Linked DNA regions of Caenorhabditis elegans. The protein of the gene in region 2 interacts with the protein of the main gene of each other region in a pairwise test. Each region holds a gene or a part of one and is shown on either strand. Other genes may lie near its edges.

Region 1 (9,410 bases), on a different chromosome or scaffold from region 2:
GTACTTCAATCCTCGAGCATCTCGTTATATGATGGGAAGGGAAGGAGTTGGGTACACTGATTCCAGAAGCTACTATTTATTCCCAAGAACAAGCGGATACGTGACTCCGCGATTCTGAGCAACCCCTGAGTATTTAAAATTTTTCTAATTTAGTATTTAAATCTATCCAGATCTTGTAAAATATATATATATTTCAACATCGGCTAGCTTTAACAATATTTGTCCTTCAAAATGTATATTCGATATGGTTCTTTCATATAACTCATATTTCTTTCTTTCAACTAAATCAACGTTTTTCTTTAGTGTTATCGTTTTCTCATTTCTTGTCATTTTGTCTTTTCCTCACATTTTTAAGACGCTCGTTATAAAGACGGTCAGCAGCAGAAACTCGTTTTGTGTTCAACATAAACTACAATTGACTACAAAGCACAAAAATCGTGTGTTTCCAACGCACTCAGACACACTCTATAAATACTGTTCTCGTCATGTCTTGTTGGTATTTTCTTCTTTCCCTGAAATATCGATTCCTGGTCAATCGTACAATTGGGACCATGTTAAGCGGGAAAGACATTGACCGCTAGCACAAATGTTGTCCGGCTCTCTCACAATCAATCTTTCTTCTGTGATGTGTTACGACAACCCACAACCGATTTTTTGATAGCAAAAATGATAAGATGATGATAGCGAGACAGCTCAATTGTTCGTTGTTCTAGAAGTTGTACGTTTTTTTAAATTTATTTTGCATCATTTTGAATTCATTATTTAAAAATGTATAAAATTGTTTAATTAACGGTTCTCGAAATATTTTGCCACTTCACAGCCACGATATCTCACTCAATAAAGCAAATGCAATTTGGGACACGCACTTGTGTTCGTTATTAATATCGAGTCCCCATTGAAAAAACTAGGCCACGCGGCCGTGAAGTACTCTCGGAAAACTACACCATTTTTTATTTTTTTATTCTACTTATATTTTCTCAAATCTCTTACTTTCAATTAATGCTTATAATTAAGACTCACAAAAATAATTTTTAGGTATGACACAAGAAAGTAACTCAAACTTTTTCAACTTCCTTCTTTTCGGGTTTGTGACCGCTATTGCCTTTTATTCGGGTACCCAATTCAACAAATCTAGCGAACAGGAAGAGGTAACTCTTTACATTTTCAGCTGATTGCGCACATATCCATTTACAGCACATCAACCATGCTAACTTGTATTCGGTAAAGAAGTTTGATGATGGAGCAAAAGAATACTCAATAATGTTGATCACCGATTTGGATCATGACAGCAAAGACGGGAAGAAGTGGAAAAGTTTGGTCTCTCGTGGATTTTTGAAGGTGAGAAGGACGGCAAGAAACTAATGCATTATGCTCAGCTTGACCAATATGATTTTTATAAAATGCAACTTGCTTTTTTCGAATCGCTATAGGAAATTTTCAAATTTATATTTCAGGTTTCTGCAGACCACAAGCATGCCGATATTCATTTTGACAAAGACTCGGAGTACTATGTTGACACGTAAGTTTACAAAATGTGTTTTTATAGATTTTTTTGTTTTGACTTCATTACTAAAATCATCATTTTAGAAATATTGCCGCCGGTGGACGCGCTATGGAGTTGTCTGACCTTGCCGTCTTCAATGGTAAACTGTACTCAATTGACGATAGAACAGGTCTTATTTATCAAATTAGTGACAAGAAGGTGAGTGATGAGTGGTTAAACAATGATATTTGTGTAGTGGATTGATTTTTAAAAAATATAATATTGTTTTGAAGGCACTTCCCTGGGTATTACTGAACGATGGGCCAGGAAACGTCGTGAAGGGATTTAAAGGAGAATGGATCACTGTTAAGGATACCGAATTGATTGTTGGAGGATTGGGAAAAGAATGGACGACCACTGACGGAGTTTATGTGAACGATCACCCAATGTGGGTGAAGCATGTCTCTGCTCACGGAGCCGTTCATCACGAAAACTGGAAGGATGTATATATCCGCGTTCGTAGAGCTGCTGGGATCGAATATCCCGGATACATGATTCACGAAGCTGTTCAATGGTCTGCAATTCACAGAAAATGGTTCTTCCTTCCACGTAGAATGTCAAATGAGAAGTATTCTGAGGCGGAGGACGAGAACCGCGGAACAAACGTTCTTGTGATTGGAAATGAAGAGTTGACTGATTTTGAGGTTGTGCGAGTAGGATCGGAGAATAACAAATCCAGAGGGTTTGCTGCTTTCCAATTTGTGCCAAACACTCATCACCAGCTCATCGTTGCCATCAAGTCGGAGGAAAAGGTAAGTAACAGGTTTTATCTACACAATTTTAAAAACAAAATCCGTTAATCTCAATGCTCGGTTTATAAAATTGTATTCCAGGATGGAAAACCAGTAGCAAGTTATGCAAGTGTTTTCGACATTCATGGTAATGTTATTCTTGACGAATATCTTCTTCATGGTCCATACAAATACGAAGGAATTGCATTTGCCTAATCACTTCAATTAATGTATTTTTGTCTCAATTCCCACCTTCCAGTCAGGTCCAAATCTGTGTTCTCGATATTATGTGATTTTTGTCAAATACTATGTAATGGTTATTTAAATAAAATAAATATATAAACATTTTATTCAACATTTTTTGCATGCATAAAGCTGCCAGTGGGTAAAAATATATATAAAAAAATACTCAAGTAAGTGGGAATCAATAAATTATTTAATTTACAAAGTCTACACGGGAAAATAAAATAACATTGGCAATATTTTTCTTAATATGCTGGTTTGAACCGTTTGATTTCGAGCATCACTTGATGAACGTTGACTAACTGGGAACACACGGGATTTTTAGCAAATACGTCATGGGACAGAATCTTTGTGAATCTATTGATATACTGAACGTACTTTGTGAAGATTGTCTGAAATCATCTAGTTAAAACTGAAATTCGGCTCTAGGAAATAAATTTTAACCTGTAAAATGGTGGTTCCCAGGCTGAAGTTAGTGAAAAGTTGTATGCATTCTGAATTAATACTGTCCACTGCAGGTCTCCACTTTGCATTGAAGTTTGCTACCACCGTTCCAACTTTGTCTGAAATTAAAATATTAGAGAATAGAAAATTATATATGACAACTTGCCATTATATCGAACTAAGAGTTGTGTATGACCTTGAACAATCAGAGATTCACACTCGTTGACAAATTTAATCATGTACCCAATATGTGGCTCTAGCATCTCTTCAACAAAATCATCAATACTTTTTTGTTCAAGCTCATGGACAATTGCATAAATCTTTGTATGCTTGCTTTCCTCGTTATCGATAATCGAAAGAATAAGATCGTAATTGTTAATCAGAAAGACGTGCTTATTTTTCTGAGTTTGCTGCATAGCTGACATTCGAGTCAATAGTTGTTCAATAGAGTCTTCACTGTTCTCCAAGACAGCTTCCATCTTTGCACCCATTTCCTTTCCACTTGCTTTTGCTATCATCAAATGTGCACTTGTCAGTTCGGCGTACCGTCGGACTATCTGTAACATCTGAATTTTTTTGATTATAAAAAACAATCAAAAACTTACGAAATGCGGTCTTGCATCAAGTGAACCGCTATGCATCAACTTCTTCAAATCAACAGATTTGACACTTTCGTAGTGTTGAGACATGACCAAATTGAGGCGGGTCCAAAGGAAGCTTGTGACAGTATTCCAATAATCGCTAACTTCTGGTACCTCTCTCTCGGCGAGCACTTCGGTAAACTTGTCACATAGACAAATGCACAGATGAAGACTGATGGCGTCCCAACTAAGGGCGATTTGCTCCTCGCAGCTTTTGAGCACAACTGACATTGCTCGAGCCATAGCCTGAAAGCAATTATAAGCTTTTTTCCGGTAGTGAAAAGGCAAACAACTATTGTAAATGTAACATTACTACGTAATAGATATTAGGTCTTTCCAGGTCCTCGTAACATACCTTGTTATGCAGTTCAATGGCTTCATCATTGCTGACAAGGAAAAAGTCGGTAATAAAGAGGTACTCATGGCTGTAGTGATCGACAAATGCCAGTTGAATAGAACGAAATAGTGCTTCAAATTGATACTGAAAATATAATTTAATTTGGTCCCTACCAGTTCTATTGTAAGGTATACCGATTGATGGTTCTGCGTAGCTGCGTGGGGAACAATCAAGGCTCCTAAAAAGTCGTCAGAGAGAATTTGATGTCGTTGCCCAATCGAAAAAACGGTTGCCTTATTCCGAACAACGTGTTGTTTCGACGAGAAAATTGCGCCTAATCCAGCGGGTTTTGCAAAATCAATACTTCCCAAAGCGTCTTCTTTGGTGGCCACGTCTTTCATCTTAAATAATTACTCTGGTGAATATACTTGAAAAATGTGTCTCAACCTACCGCAAGTTTGAACAGGCGTGTGGCGTATGCTTTGAAATACGTGAAGAACATCTTGCTGATGGTGTCAATGTACTCGTCTTGAAGTTCCTTGGCAGAGATCAAGTCATGGTGCAACAGGAATTCGTAGAAAAATCGGCATTTGAGAAGCTGGTGTTGAAAAACTTGGTAGTTGGACAGAGGTTTACGGAATTGGAACATTTTCTGAAGCAACCATTCCCTCACTTTTACAACCGCCTGAAAAAAAACATTTTTGAAATGTAAACTTTTGTAAAAAAAAAAACACCCAACCTTAAGCTTTAGTCCTTCCAAAATCGGCATAGTGTCGTTTACCGCTACCGCATCTCCATTTCCCCTTTGCAAAATTAAGGTTATTTTGTGGTGTAACTCGTGGAGCGCTTCCAAAAAACCCCTGTCATTTGCATCAGTGTCGTTGATAGTTTTCATCATCGTTTGAGAAACAGCAATATCGTCTACAAATTGGCTCAGCTCGACTCTAACTTTTTGCCGGTTTTCCAGTTCCTGAGAAGATTATAGTACGTTGAAATTGGAAAATTAATTTACTTGATGAATATGATGCGACTGTAGCTGCAAATTTTTCATATCCTGCCCAATTGATCCTAGATTGTCTTGAAAACTGTACAATGTTGCTTGCAAGCGCTAAAAAGTTTAATTAAATAGTCGACTGATTTATATATTGGCAATTTTTACAATATACTTACTTCAAAAACATTATCACAATGCACAAGTTGATTATGGAGTTGAGCCAACTGCTCAGAGTTATCAAGACACTGTTGAACAGAATAACGATGTGCCTCCGATAGCCGCGTGCTGACGTCGTCTGAATTATTGATTTTTCAAATGTTGACATTTAGAGACATACTTTTCGACTCGGTTAGTCCGTCACCAGAAGCAATTGCTTTTTTCACCAAATTCGGATCTGCTTTTCGCAATTGCGATAAACAAAATTCTAGCGACGATATTGTGAAACTACGGTCATTTGCCTCGGATTTTTGCAAGTTGACACGTGTTCGAGGCATTATTTGTGCTGAAATTGTTTCAATAAAAATTTTGATGAATAACTAACGTTAATAAATAAAAAATAGCGATAAACCAAAGAAAAAACAATTGGTAACACGTCGTTAAACGATGCTCCGCTTTTTACACCCCGCGCGGTGTTTAGAATAATGGTGTGCTTGTGTGCGAGGAAGGCGAGGAAAATGCTCGCCAAGGAGGTTATGCAGAACAATTGGAAAAATGAGAATGTGTGGATTTTTGAATTTTTATAGAGAATTTAATTTATCTATTTGGTATATTTTTGACAATTCGCTACGAGAAATCTAAAACACTATTAAATCTTCAAACCCCAACAATATTGAAATTTGGATTTTTGTTTAGTGAAAAAATAAGTGAAAATATGAATTTTTCTGATCAAAGACTTTCATAATAATTGGTGAAAACCTAGTTTTCAGCGCATTAGGCTCGAAATAAAAAATTTCTCAAAACTTTTTGAATCCTTCGATTCAAATATTTCCCGTTTTACAAAAAATTAGACAAATTTCTAAACTATATGGCTTCCTTCATTTTCTTGGAAAAATACACTTGAAAAATACAATGGAACGTGGAGAATCATATATATATTATTATTATGATGAGAAAAATGACTGAAAAAATTTGGAGCAAAATCGGAAGTCTTTCAGACAACCTCTCAAAGATATGCCTTGACAACCGATATGTGCAATTTGGAAGTGAATGAGGTGGAAATCGAGTATAAATATTAAGTGTTATACAGTTGAATAATACAGTTTAATAGTTAAAAAAAAATACTTCAAACAGGAAAGAGATTATCAATATGCTTCGAGTTGATCCTTGTTTTGTTTTTTGACGAAACTGTAGCTCATTTTGCGTTGCTTGGAATCAGAGTCGGCTTCCTGAGGAAGATGCGGTGGCTGGAACTGTATCCTGACGTTGAATGGATTGAAGGGCGGCATTCATCATTTCTTGAACTGGAAAGTTCTGAGATGTGCCTCCTGAACCAACCTTGCTGATTCCTCCGAGAATCTCCATTGGGAACGGGAAGATGATTGTGCTGGTTTTCTCGGAACTGAAATTTTATTTTGTTAGTTAAAAGTTGATAGTGCGCTTCCATTACCTGATAGCATTGAGTGTGTGCAGATATCGAAGCTGCATGGCTCCCTCGCTTTTTGAAATGATGGTGGCGGCTTCAGCAAGAGCGGCAGATGCTCTTAATTCTCCTTCGGCAGCGATAATCTGAAATTAATTGCAATCGAAATTAATAATTATTGGTCCCCCGCATTTTGCTATGCTCATCATGTCGGCTCACCTTTGCTCCAGCATCACGAGTAGCCTCGGCTTCAGCAGCCATAGCACGTTGCATTTGAGATGGAAGACGGACATCGCGAAGCTCGACACGTTCAACCTTGATTCCCCATGGCTCTGTAGCTTCATCGAGCGAGATTTTCATGTCGGCGGAGATTTTCTCACGGTCGGATAGAATTTCTGAAAGGGTATGGGTACCGAGAATTGTACGGAGGGTGGTTTGAGCCAAAAGTTTGGTAGAGTCGGTCGCATTGCCAACTCCGACGACCTAAAAATTCCAAATTAGATTGAACCGTACCAGCTGTTTAGTTTACCGAAGTGATTGGGTCAAACACCTTGAAGTAGACAACTGCGTCAACAGAAACGGTAACCGAATCGCGAGACAGAATCTGAAGAGAGAAAGATTATATCACAGTGAGCAGGTGTGTTGCGCAACATACCTCTTGTGAAGGGACATTGTACGATGCCACACGCAGATCGATATTCAAGAAAGTATCAATACAAGGTATGATGAAGAAGATTCCGGGACCTTTGACGTCAGGAACAAGACGTCCCAAACGGAAAACTACAGCACGTTGGTATTCCTGAACAATCTGAAGAAAAAATACATCCTTATACGTTCTTGTAGATAGAAATTTACCTTTATGCACATGAATACAGAGACGGGGAACGTGAGGAAGATAAGGACGTAGGACATTGCAATGCAAAACATCTCGGTGCATCCAGCATCATGAGAATGGTCTAATTAGATAAAAAAATTGTTAAATTTTCTTAAATTTGGTATTATTATTGTTAACAACCAAAAAATGGTACTAACTCAGTTTTTTCTACTCATCGTTTTGGGAGTTGACCAAAAAATTTGACAAATTACCAAAAGTTTGACTAATTTTTTTTTTTCAAAAGTCTAAACATTATAAAAGCGTGCTGATATGACAGTAATTTTTCCAACAATTTTGAACATTTAAATTCTAGTAAAAATACTGAAACTTTTTTCGTTTTACGATGACTTAAAGTTCTACATAAAACAAAACGAAAAAAAAACCAACTTGCTGGGGCCGATTGAACTCTCGCTTCGACATCGCGCTGCTGGCCGGAAGGTTGAGCCATTTCCTGCATCTCAACTGTTTCTGAGGGCTGCATCATAAGAGACGGACGGTACGGGGTCACAATTGCGTGATTTATGGTGAAAGGGGACTGTGCGACCGCCTACGCGAGCCGTCACAGAAGAGACACAAGGGCAAGGGAGAAATAAGAATAGAAGGAGAGAGGAGGGCAGGTGCGGAAAGAGAGCCGGTGGCTCTGAACTGAGCTGATTAATGTTGTGACCTTTTTCCTTGGTAACAGGAGAAAATAACTCGTGTGATTGTTTTTGGGGGTAGGTTGCTAAAATGCAATTAGTGAGAGGATGTAGGAAAAAGGCATTTTTGAATTAGAAACGATCAGTGGTGCGATGGAAGAGCAGAGCAGATGAAAAATGCCAAAAATTATGGAGCGTTAATTAAAAAGGTACAAGCTTAAGAGGACATATTCTGATTCAATTGTTAGAACAGATGGTTTTATATTCAAATTGTAAAATTATCTGACGAGAGGTTTTTTTATACAGAGAGTACCGGACGGTGTGAAAATAAAATGAGTGATCAAATGAAATTACATAACTATTTTTGTGATTTTACGTCAGAGATTACGTTCTTTTTCAAGAATCAAAATGTTAGTGGTTGGAGAAGCATCGAGTGATAACATGAGCCAGGTTTTTTTAGACGCCAATGCACAATATTCTCTGCGTCATTGGTGAAATTAAAAGTGTGAAAAAAAACTTTGCAATAGGTGATTTTATGTTATGAAATTGCGTTCGCTCGCGTTTGGTTCTGTCATATAAATGCGTCAGGTGTATAGGTGTATGTGTGAAAAAGTATAGGTTTTATGATAGTTCTATTTCTGTATAGATTTTTTTGATTTCATAATATTAAAATAAAAAAACAAAAATTAAGGTGATGTATGTAATTGACAATATTTTCAAACAGAGTGGAGGCAAACAGGAAGGAAGAGCAGGTCGATTCATGTTTACCGTTGTATTCTTTATCAAATACTAGTGATGGCACGGAAGTACTGTGCCGTTCGAACCACAATAAACATAAACCAGCTGTGAAGGAAAAATGTGCATGCGTAGACTAGCGATCCAATTGCACCAGTCGTTATTATTACTGGAATGCACAATGTTTGAGTCAGTCATCAAAAAACCACAGAAGGCGGAAAATAAAAAGCGCGTGCGTACCTGCTTTTGGGGTCGTGTTCAGAAGATCAGCAAAATACTGCACCTTATCGGCAAGAACAATTTCGATCTGCTCAGCTGCGTAAGAACTTGGGTCAATCACTGCTGAGAGATAGAAGAAAGAAAGCAGCAGGCAAAATGATACGGTCAGAATCTGTAAAATAAATAAATAATTAACCAAACGCGGTAGACTTTTTTTGGATTCAGCAATTGTTAAATTATTGGAATATCAATGGAATGATCATATATAATATAACGTTTTGAATTAGTTTCCCAGTTAGAATTGGCATTACCTCTCTCTTACTATTGAACATTTTTTTGCAATAACTATGTAGTGATTTACGACATAATTCTTTAAAAAATAATTCATAGAAATTGATGAAATTTCACTCGAAATTCTCACGATAAACATCA
Region 2 (7,118 bases):
GCCGAAGTGAAGAAAAAGTTCGACGAAAATCTGCTTCAAAAAATTTAATAAATGAAATACAATTTTATCCATGACGTTTTTGCTTCGATATTCTTGTTTCCTCTGCACGTGTTGTTCTTTTTCTGTGGCGCTTAGAATCATCATCACTGAACAGGCAACGGCGTTCAGTGGAACTAGTTTGCACAACCAAATAAGCTGACTAACCCGTAGAAAGCGAAACGCAAATTCGGGGTATTACGCAAAAAAAAACAGAACTACAGAATTACATAAGAGGCACATAGTTCAACTGTGGGTGGCTTAATAAAACTAGAAATGGAGAAATGGGAGAAGCTGAAAAGAAACACGAAGATTACGGTATGACTCATGGTGCATCGTTTGAATTTATTTCTTTATGTTCGCCAAGTTATGTAGGTACAAATCAGAAACAGTAATAAAACCTTCATTGAATATGCCGGAAAGTTATTGTAGTTTTCTCAGAGGGTTGAATCAGATATTCACATTTTAATAACAATATTGGAAAATCATGGATCATAGAGAGAACAACTGACCATATTATGGGTGCGCGAAAAAACTTCGTTTGATAACGCTCCGCCCCTAAACTTTGTGTCTCGTTAGGTATTTGGCGGCAATACCAAATTCAAAATCTTTGGAACAACAATGACATTTTGAAATTTATAAAACTTTTTTCAATATTTTTTCTACCTTAAAATCATTTAAAAAAAAAAAAAAAAAAAAAAAAACGGAAAAAATAAAAAAGAAGGCAATACATATATTATGGGAACACAAAATTCTGAGAATGCGTATTGAGCAACATACTTGACGCGCAAAATATCTCATAGCGTAAACTACAGTAATTCTTTAAACGACTACTGTAGCGCTTGTGTTGATTTACGGGCTCGATTTTCGAAATGAAAATTAAGCAAAACATGAGAAAATAATAAGAAGAAACCAAAGGAAAATGGATTATCGATGTCACAATCGAGCCCGTAAATCGACACAAGAGCTACAGTTGTCATTTGAAGAATTACTGTAATTTTCGCTACGAGATATTCTGCGCGTCAAATATGTTGCGCAATACGCATTCTCAGAATTTTGTCTTTCCGTAATAAATATGATTGAAAAAATTTTGAATTTACAGCTTTACCGTCAAGACACAACGCGACCCAACGTTAATGGGTTACTAGAATTTAGTTTGAATATTCATGAATTTATTCAATTTAATTACTATACATTTTAAAGTAGAGATTCCATGGATTACAAGTGACATTGAACAATTCAAAGTTGAGGCTTTATTCCCTTTGAACTTCTTCATCTTCCTCCATCCACTCCCGTCTCATCTAATCCCAGAAGTGCAAGGTCTATGACAGCAGTAGCAGCAGCAGCCCGTCAATTTCGTTAACCGGTTGGATCATCTGCGCTTACTCGACCGAATATCTTCTGCTACCTTTTTTGGAGGAGAGAGAGAACAGTCACGCCCATCAGAGCATAACATTAAAAAGACCGACAAACTGGTGTTGTGCAGTCAATTGCTGCCTGATCCAAGTCTACATTCTCGTCTCGTCATTTTCAAAAATAAAATGCAATTATCCAGTGTTTTTTCTCTTGTATTCTCAAGCTTAATCGCGATTTCAAGGTAAGATTCTGTTTGAAATATTGCTTTTAAATGTTTTTATCTCAGAAAATTTGGTTAAATTCGAGAAATCGAAACACCTTTCCCCTGAACCTAGAAAATACAGTTTTCAGTGCTCTTCCAGCATCGTACTCCTCGTCACTCAATGATCCACTTCTGTCAAGCCTCGGGCTAGGTGAGATATTCTTTAAAAACAATTCACACTGCAATATTTTGGAATTTCAGGTTCCATGGGAATGGGCATGGGCGGCATGAATGGAATGTACGGAGGAATGCCACCACCGATGCCTCCACCCGGAATGAGCCCGTATGGAATGGGTGGAATGGGTGGAATGAGCCCATATGGAATGATGGGACCAATGGGTGGAATGGGAGGAATGAGCCCATACGGAGGAGGCATGTCACCATATGGAATGGGATCGATGGGCGGTATGGGATCATCAATGTCCTTCCCATTCATGGGTAAGAAGAAGTAACCTCTGAAAAATGTTGAATCTCTTTATTTATCTGTCGAAGAATCTCATATCACATGTTCGTCTTTCTTCTCCTTGTATAATAAAATTCCATTTAATTTATTTACATTGTTTAACAGTATTGCCACCAATAATAGAAGCAGAACATGAATATCAGGCAACAAATTACACCGATCATAAAGAGTTTCTTGTCTTCTCGCACACGCTTTTCGATGAGTCGAATTGTGGTATCAGATATTCCCAGCTGAAAGATTTTCATCTAATTTATTGAGCGAAACCAGATATACTTACGGATTTGGTCAGAAAATGGAATCGTTTTCGAATGCTCAGCAAGTTGTACTTCTGTTTTTGAAGATCCTCAAAGACGCTTGCACCTTGGGCTAGCATTTGATCGATCTGAAATTTAATATTTAATATTAATTTACATTTATCGATTTCACAAAAATTTACCATATTATCCGAGTATTTCAGTTTATCATTCAAGTTGAGCTCTTCGTCAAATTCCAGATTCACACGCGTTTCTTGATTTGTTGTAAACCTGGAAAGAGTTATTAAAAAAACTATAGATTATTTATTTTAATTACCAACCTCTGTTTCAGAAGTGCTTTCTTTTCTTCTGCTTGCTTCTTTCGATTAGTGTGACGATTTGTCATTGTTCTCAATGAATTTTTGATAAGACACACATCACTTTTCAATTGATCCATTTTGAACGAAGCTTTCTGTCTAACTGGAGCCGGTTCTCTGCCCAGTTGTGATTCCAGTCGAAACATGTGTGTTTCAGTTTTCCTAAAAAAAGATTCTTGTTGGAATTAAATAAAATTATCAGTTTTACATAAGACTACTATTTGCATCCTGAATTAATCGATCCACTTCGTGATTTCCCGTTTGACGTTCAATCGCAATCAAAAGTAGCTGAACATTGTCGATTTCTTCCCTAGTGGCCTTGAGTTGTGTATCCATCGACTCTAAAATATAAAAATAAAATTCTTCAAAGTGAAAGTACTCACTTTTAAAATTAAAAACAAGAAATGCCAGTGAATATTCAGAAAATACGAAATTAGAAAATAAAATCCACGATTTCTCAATGGCATGCCTATGTGACGTCAGCTTACGTTTTTTATGACGTGGAACGGAATCGTAGTTTTTAAAATAATTTTAATAATCATTTCTTTTAATTTGAAAGAAAATTATTAAATTGAAACGTTGAAAAATGATTTCGCTGAAAGATAAAATTTGAAAAAAAATTGCCTCGAAAAAATCTAGTGCAATTGCGCTCTATCGAACATTTGTTAGAGAGTGAGAGACGGCAGAAACCAAAAAGTACGGTAGTTTCTGATTTTTAGAGATTTCAAGTTGAAAAATTAAAATATAAAAATGAAAATGTGCGGATTTTTTCCGCGTTCTGGACATGGCATAACAAATTTGAATGAAGAATATGAGAATTCAAGGAGTATTCATCTGCATCGAAATTTTGAAGTTACAGTACCCTTTAAAGGCACACACCTTCCCGAATATAACAAAAATTAGTCGTTTCGAGACCGGGAACCGAATTATTCGACCTAAATTCGTAAAATTTTGCGTCTGGGTGAGAAAATCACTATTATCTAAATATTTGGGAAACTTTTATTGAAAATTTCATTACCCTTGAATATAATTCCTATTATTTTTTGAAACCTCCTTTTTTAATATAAAATCCCACATTTCCAATATTTAAGAATCAAAAATCCAACTCACAAATTTCCCGTCGAGAAACATGTTTACAACCAGCTATCAACACCCGAAATCCCCACGAGACGTGACCCGATAAAAGTTGAGAGGAGGGTTTATAATGAGCATTTTATGGTCCGGGTGCGTAGCAATGATCTGGCTCAATGGACGAAAAAAGAGCACAAAAAAGAGAGCAAGAATGAGATTGAGAGAAGGACGGGAAGCTTTTCGGTGAGCTTTCCGTCATTTTTTCCGAGTTTCCAAGTGTGCCTCATTTTTGGTGAAAAAAGAAAAAAAGTGTTTTTTTAGTTTTGTCTCTGACGTATGAGATATTCCATTTTATTTTTATATAAATAAATAAGTTAAGATCTTCGCGCAGAAAAGTAGAAAAAAAAGTGTTCGCGTTCTTAGAATGTATTGAAATTGCAAGCAATTTTCAAAAGAATGACTTTGAAAGTGCCAGGTAGGAAGTGTAGGCGACATTTTTTGTCTGATGTTTCATAATTTTTTTCTGCTTTGTAAAATTATTGGCTTTGTCGTTTTTCCAAATGTGTATTGAACCTAGTTTCCATAGCTCAAAATTACGGTTTTTTTTTTTGAAAATTAAAATTAGTTATTAAAAAATAATTTTAAAGTGATCTCTGAAATTTTTAGTCAGGTTTTCTAGACTTGAAATATAATATGAAAGTTGGAGTTCTGAAAATTGTTAAATATTTACCAAAATTGAAAATAAAATTGACGTTTTAAAGAAATTTTTGGAATTTCTATTAACTTCTGTGAAAATGTGAAACGTCACTTCGAAGGCACTAGCTGTTCGTCTGATAATGAAAGGGTCTCGCCACGAATTTAGCTTCTAACTATAACTATCAAGTTTTGCAAAACTTCTCATTAAAAGTGACAATTGAAATGTTAGAATTTTTTTTGAACGTTTTGTTTTCGAAATATATGTATAAGTTTTTTTGAAAAATAAGAATAATCGACTTTTTTACTAAATTTTAAAAATCTTGTATCCCTATTGTGCAAAAAGGCTCCCCGCAATCTATTTGCACTTGAATTTGTTACAAGAAAAATTATATTGTACTTCTGTTAAAAATTGTCACTTCACTTCAAAGGCACGCGCTGTTTTTGTGTGGGTCTTGCCACAACCTCAGCTACAGTAGTCGCTACAAATTTCAAGCTGTAAATACAGAGAAAACCAGAATTTATCAGATTTTTAGCACCTAAAATCATAAGCAAACTAATTTACCGTATTTCCTCTATTAGTCTTGCAGCCTCTATTGGAATTGCATGCAAGACTAATAGAGAGCATACGGTATTAGTCTTGCACCCCTATTCTAGGCAGACCAGCAGTATTTTGTGAAAACTTCAACAATTTCGCCATTTTATAGCTAAATTAAATTTTAAAGTGTTAAAATAATTGATAAAACAATAGAAAAGTATGTATTTTGCATGATTTAGACTGTTTCGAGTCAAATTTTTTACGATAAATGGCCAATTTTATAAAGCTATTGGATCTTCGAAAATTAGTCTTGCAGCCTCTAATAGTCTTGCAGTCTCTATTAGTCTTGCACCTCTACGGGTCAATTGAAACTTAGTCTTGCATGCAAGACTAATAGAGGAAATACGGTACAGATAAAAAAATTCAATTTCATTTTTCGACGTTTCATTCCGTTCCAAAATTTCCGGATTATAAAAACGGGAACCAGTTATTTAAAAAAATCGAAAAACCAAGTTACTCGGATTCTCTTGAATCCGGAAAAACTGGACGACGGGGGCCCGGTTTATTCCGGTTTACCAGTATTAGCTAAGATAAGTATTTTTAACAGTACGCCTTTTAAGATTACATCAAAAAAGTTATTTTTCACCAGTGGCAAAATTTGCGGTCCTACCTTTCCGAATTTCATTCCCAAAAATCTCGCAGCGCTTACGTCACCCGCCGGCGAAATATTCGTGTCACCTGCTAGACAGTAGTTGCTCAAACTTCCACTATTATGTTCTCTATTTCCATTTTTTTTGTCTTCAACTCTTCGTTACTAAATACGACCTTGCCTTCTTCTTCGCCTTCATCTTGGTTTTTTATTCTTGACTCCTTCTTCTTCTTTGCTTTTCCTTCACTTCCTGCCCTGTCTTGTTTCGCTCTCCTTTCGAAGTAAATACCCTCGGGAGGAGAGGTTCTTCTCTCCTTCTTCAGATGTGTCTGTTTTCTGTTTTTGTGTGTATGTATTTGGTGGTGGCGCATCAATTGCCATCGCTTGCTCTCGATTATTCTAATCCCTTTCGCGGGGGGTGAAATCGTTTCTTTTTCATTTTGAGTGGTGGTGGTGGTGGTGGACGAGTCGCGGGGTGCTCTGAAGTTTCTCCGAAAGAGAGACCCACAAGTTTTATTTTGAAACAAGTTGAGAGTCTTCAGAGTTGAGATTCTGTCCCATATACTGAATGGGCGCAAGTCCCCAGCGAGAGAGGTAGAACAACACCACCGACAACATCAGAGAGAAAGGATTGATGAGGTCAGTTAACTTTTTTGCAAATTTAAGGTAATTTAAGTGGGGAAATTATTTAAAACTGCCCATACAGTGAAAAATTTTCCAAATATCACAGTAAACGTTCAAATTTTTTTAATGAATTTATTTTTAATCTACGGTCAAAAAGTGGTGAAGTCTACCCAGTTTTTACTGATGATAATGCTGAAAGTCTACCAAAAAATAATTGTTTCTAAAAATGTTTTAATTCGATCTAGTGGATCAAAGAAATACTCAAAACTATTCCAAAAGTCAAAATTTTTTGGAAAAATTGACAATTCACAAAAATTTTTGACTGAAGATTTGAAAAATCTAATCACTTTTGAACTCTTTTGTAAGATTTGCGGTTAACTTGGACTATAGTTAGTATATCATAAAAACCTTTATATTATAGAAAATGGCAAACATCTGTGTGAATTCAGTTAGGAAAAATATTTTGTTCTACTAACTTTGCCAGAAACAGAGCAAGATCTCCCAGAATTTTTTTTTCAAAAAGTTTCTGAAAGTAGTGCACTTTGATGTTGTGAAAAATAGTCTTCTTCTATTAGAAAAAATTGATTCTGTTGGAAATTGGAAGAAATAAAAATTTTTTAACAGTATTCTGAATCGCCAGTACAAAAATCTACAGTTCTCAAAACTATTTTGAAAATTTTAAATTAACAGTCAAAAAGTGGTACTCAATGTTTTCCAACCATATTGTTTTCTTGTAATAAAGCTTTTATTTTAGTTGGAACAAATGAAATAGTGTTCAAAATTGTCTGAAAGAAACTGAAAGAAATTGTTGAAAAA

Evidence for each region. Proteins that work in one complex are often made in the same cells at the same time.
Region 1: the proteins of memb-2 (region 2) and vps-52 interact in a two-hybrid assay, tested with the Caenorhabditis elegans proteins (one study listed by BioGRID).

The regions. Positions count from the first base shown.
Region 1 is NC_003284.9:7,561,348-7,570,757, reverse strand, and holds vps-52 (Vacuolar protein sorting-associated protein 52 homolog), read right to left. Parts: upstream 5,436-9,410; 5' UTR 5,428-5,435; coding exon 5,271-5,427; intron 5,229-5,270; coding exon 5,110-5,228; intron 5,048-5,109; coding exon 4,952-5,047; intron 4,910-4,951; coding exon 4,679-4,909; intron 4,625-4,678; coding exon 4,391-4,624; intron 4,341-4,390; coding exon 4,134-4,340; intron 4,084-4,133; coding exon 3,958-4,083; intron 3,849-3,957; coding exon 3,567-3,848; intron 3,519-3,566; coding exon 3,128-3,518; intron 3,081-3,127; coding exon 2,962-3,080; intron 2,910-2,961; coding exon 2,763-2,909; 3' UTR 2,613-2,762; downstream 1-2,612. Other genes in the region: Zinc finger protein unc-98, read left to right, coding at 1-118; Apyrase apy-1, read left to right, coding at 1,038-1,148, 1,195-1,338, 1,455-1,519, 1,588-1,702, 1,777-2,295, 2,377-2,490; sto-1 (Stomatin-1), read right to left, coding at 6,305-6,491, 6,540-6,658, 6,732-6,995, 7,042-7,116, 7,168-7,320, 7,368-7,468, 7,774-7,867; F08C6.5 (uncharacterized protein), read right to left, coding at 8,807-8,928, 9,000-9,150. UniProt on the Caenorhabditis elegans protein: Acts as a component of the GARP complex that is involved in retrograde transport from early and late endosomes to the trans-Golgi network (TGN). The GARP complex facilitates tethering as well as SNARE complex assembly at the Golgi.
Region 2 is NC_003283.11:5,616,134-5,623,251, forward strand, and holds memb-2 (Golgi SNAP receptor complex member 2), read right to left. Parts: upstream 3,069-7,118; 5' UTR 3,064-3,068; coding exon 2,936-3,063; intron 2,890-2,935; coding exon 2,692-2,889; intron 2,642-2,691; coding exon 2,554-2,641; intron 2,500-2,553; coding exon 2,395-2,499; intron 2,348-2,394; coding exon 2,216-2,347; 3' UTR 2,188-2,215; downstream 1-2,187. Other genes in the region: M03E7.3 (LITAF domain-containing protein), read left to right, coding at 1-48; M03E7.2 (uncharacterized protein), read left to right, coding at 1,578-1,633, 1,744-1,805, 1,856-2,106.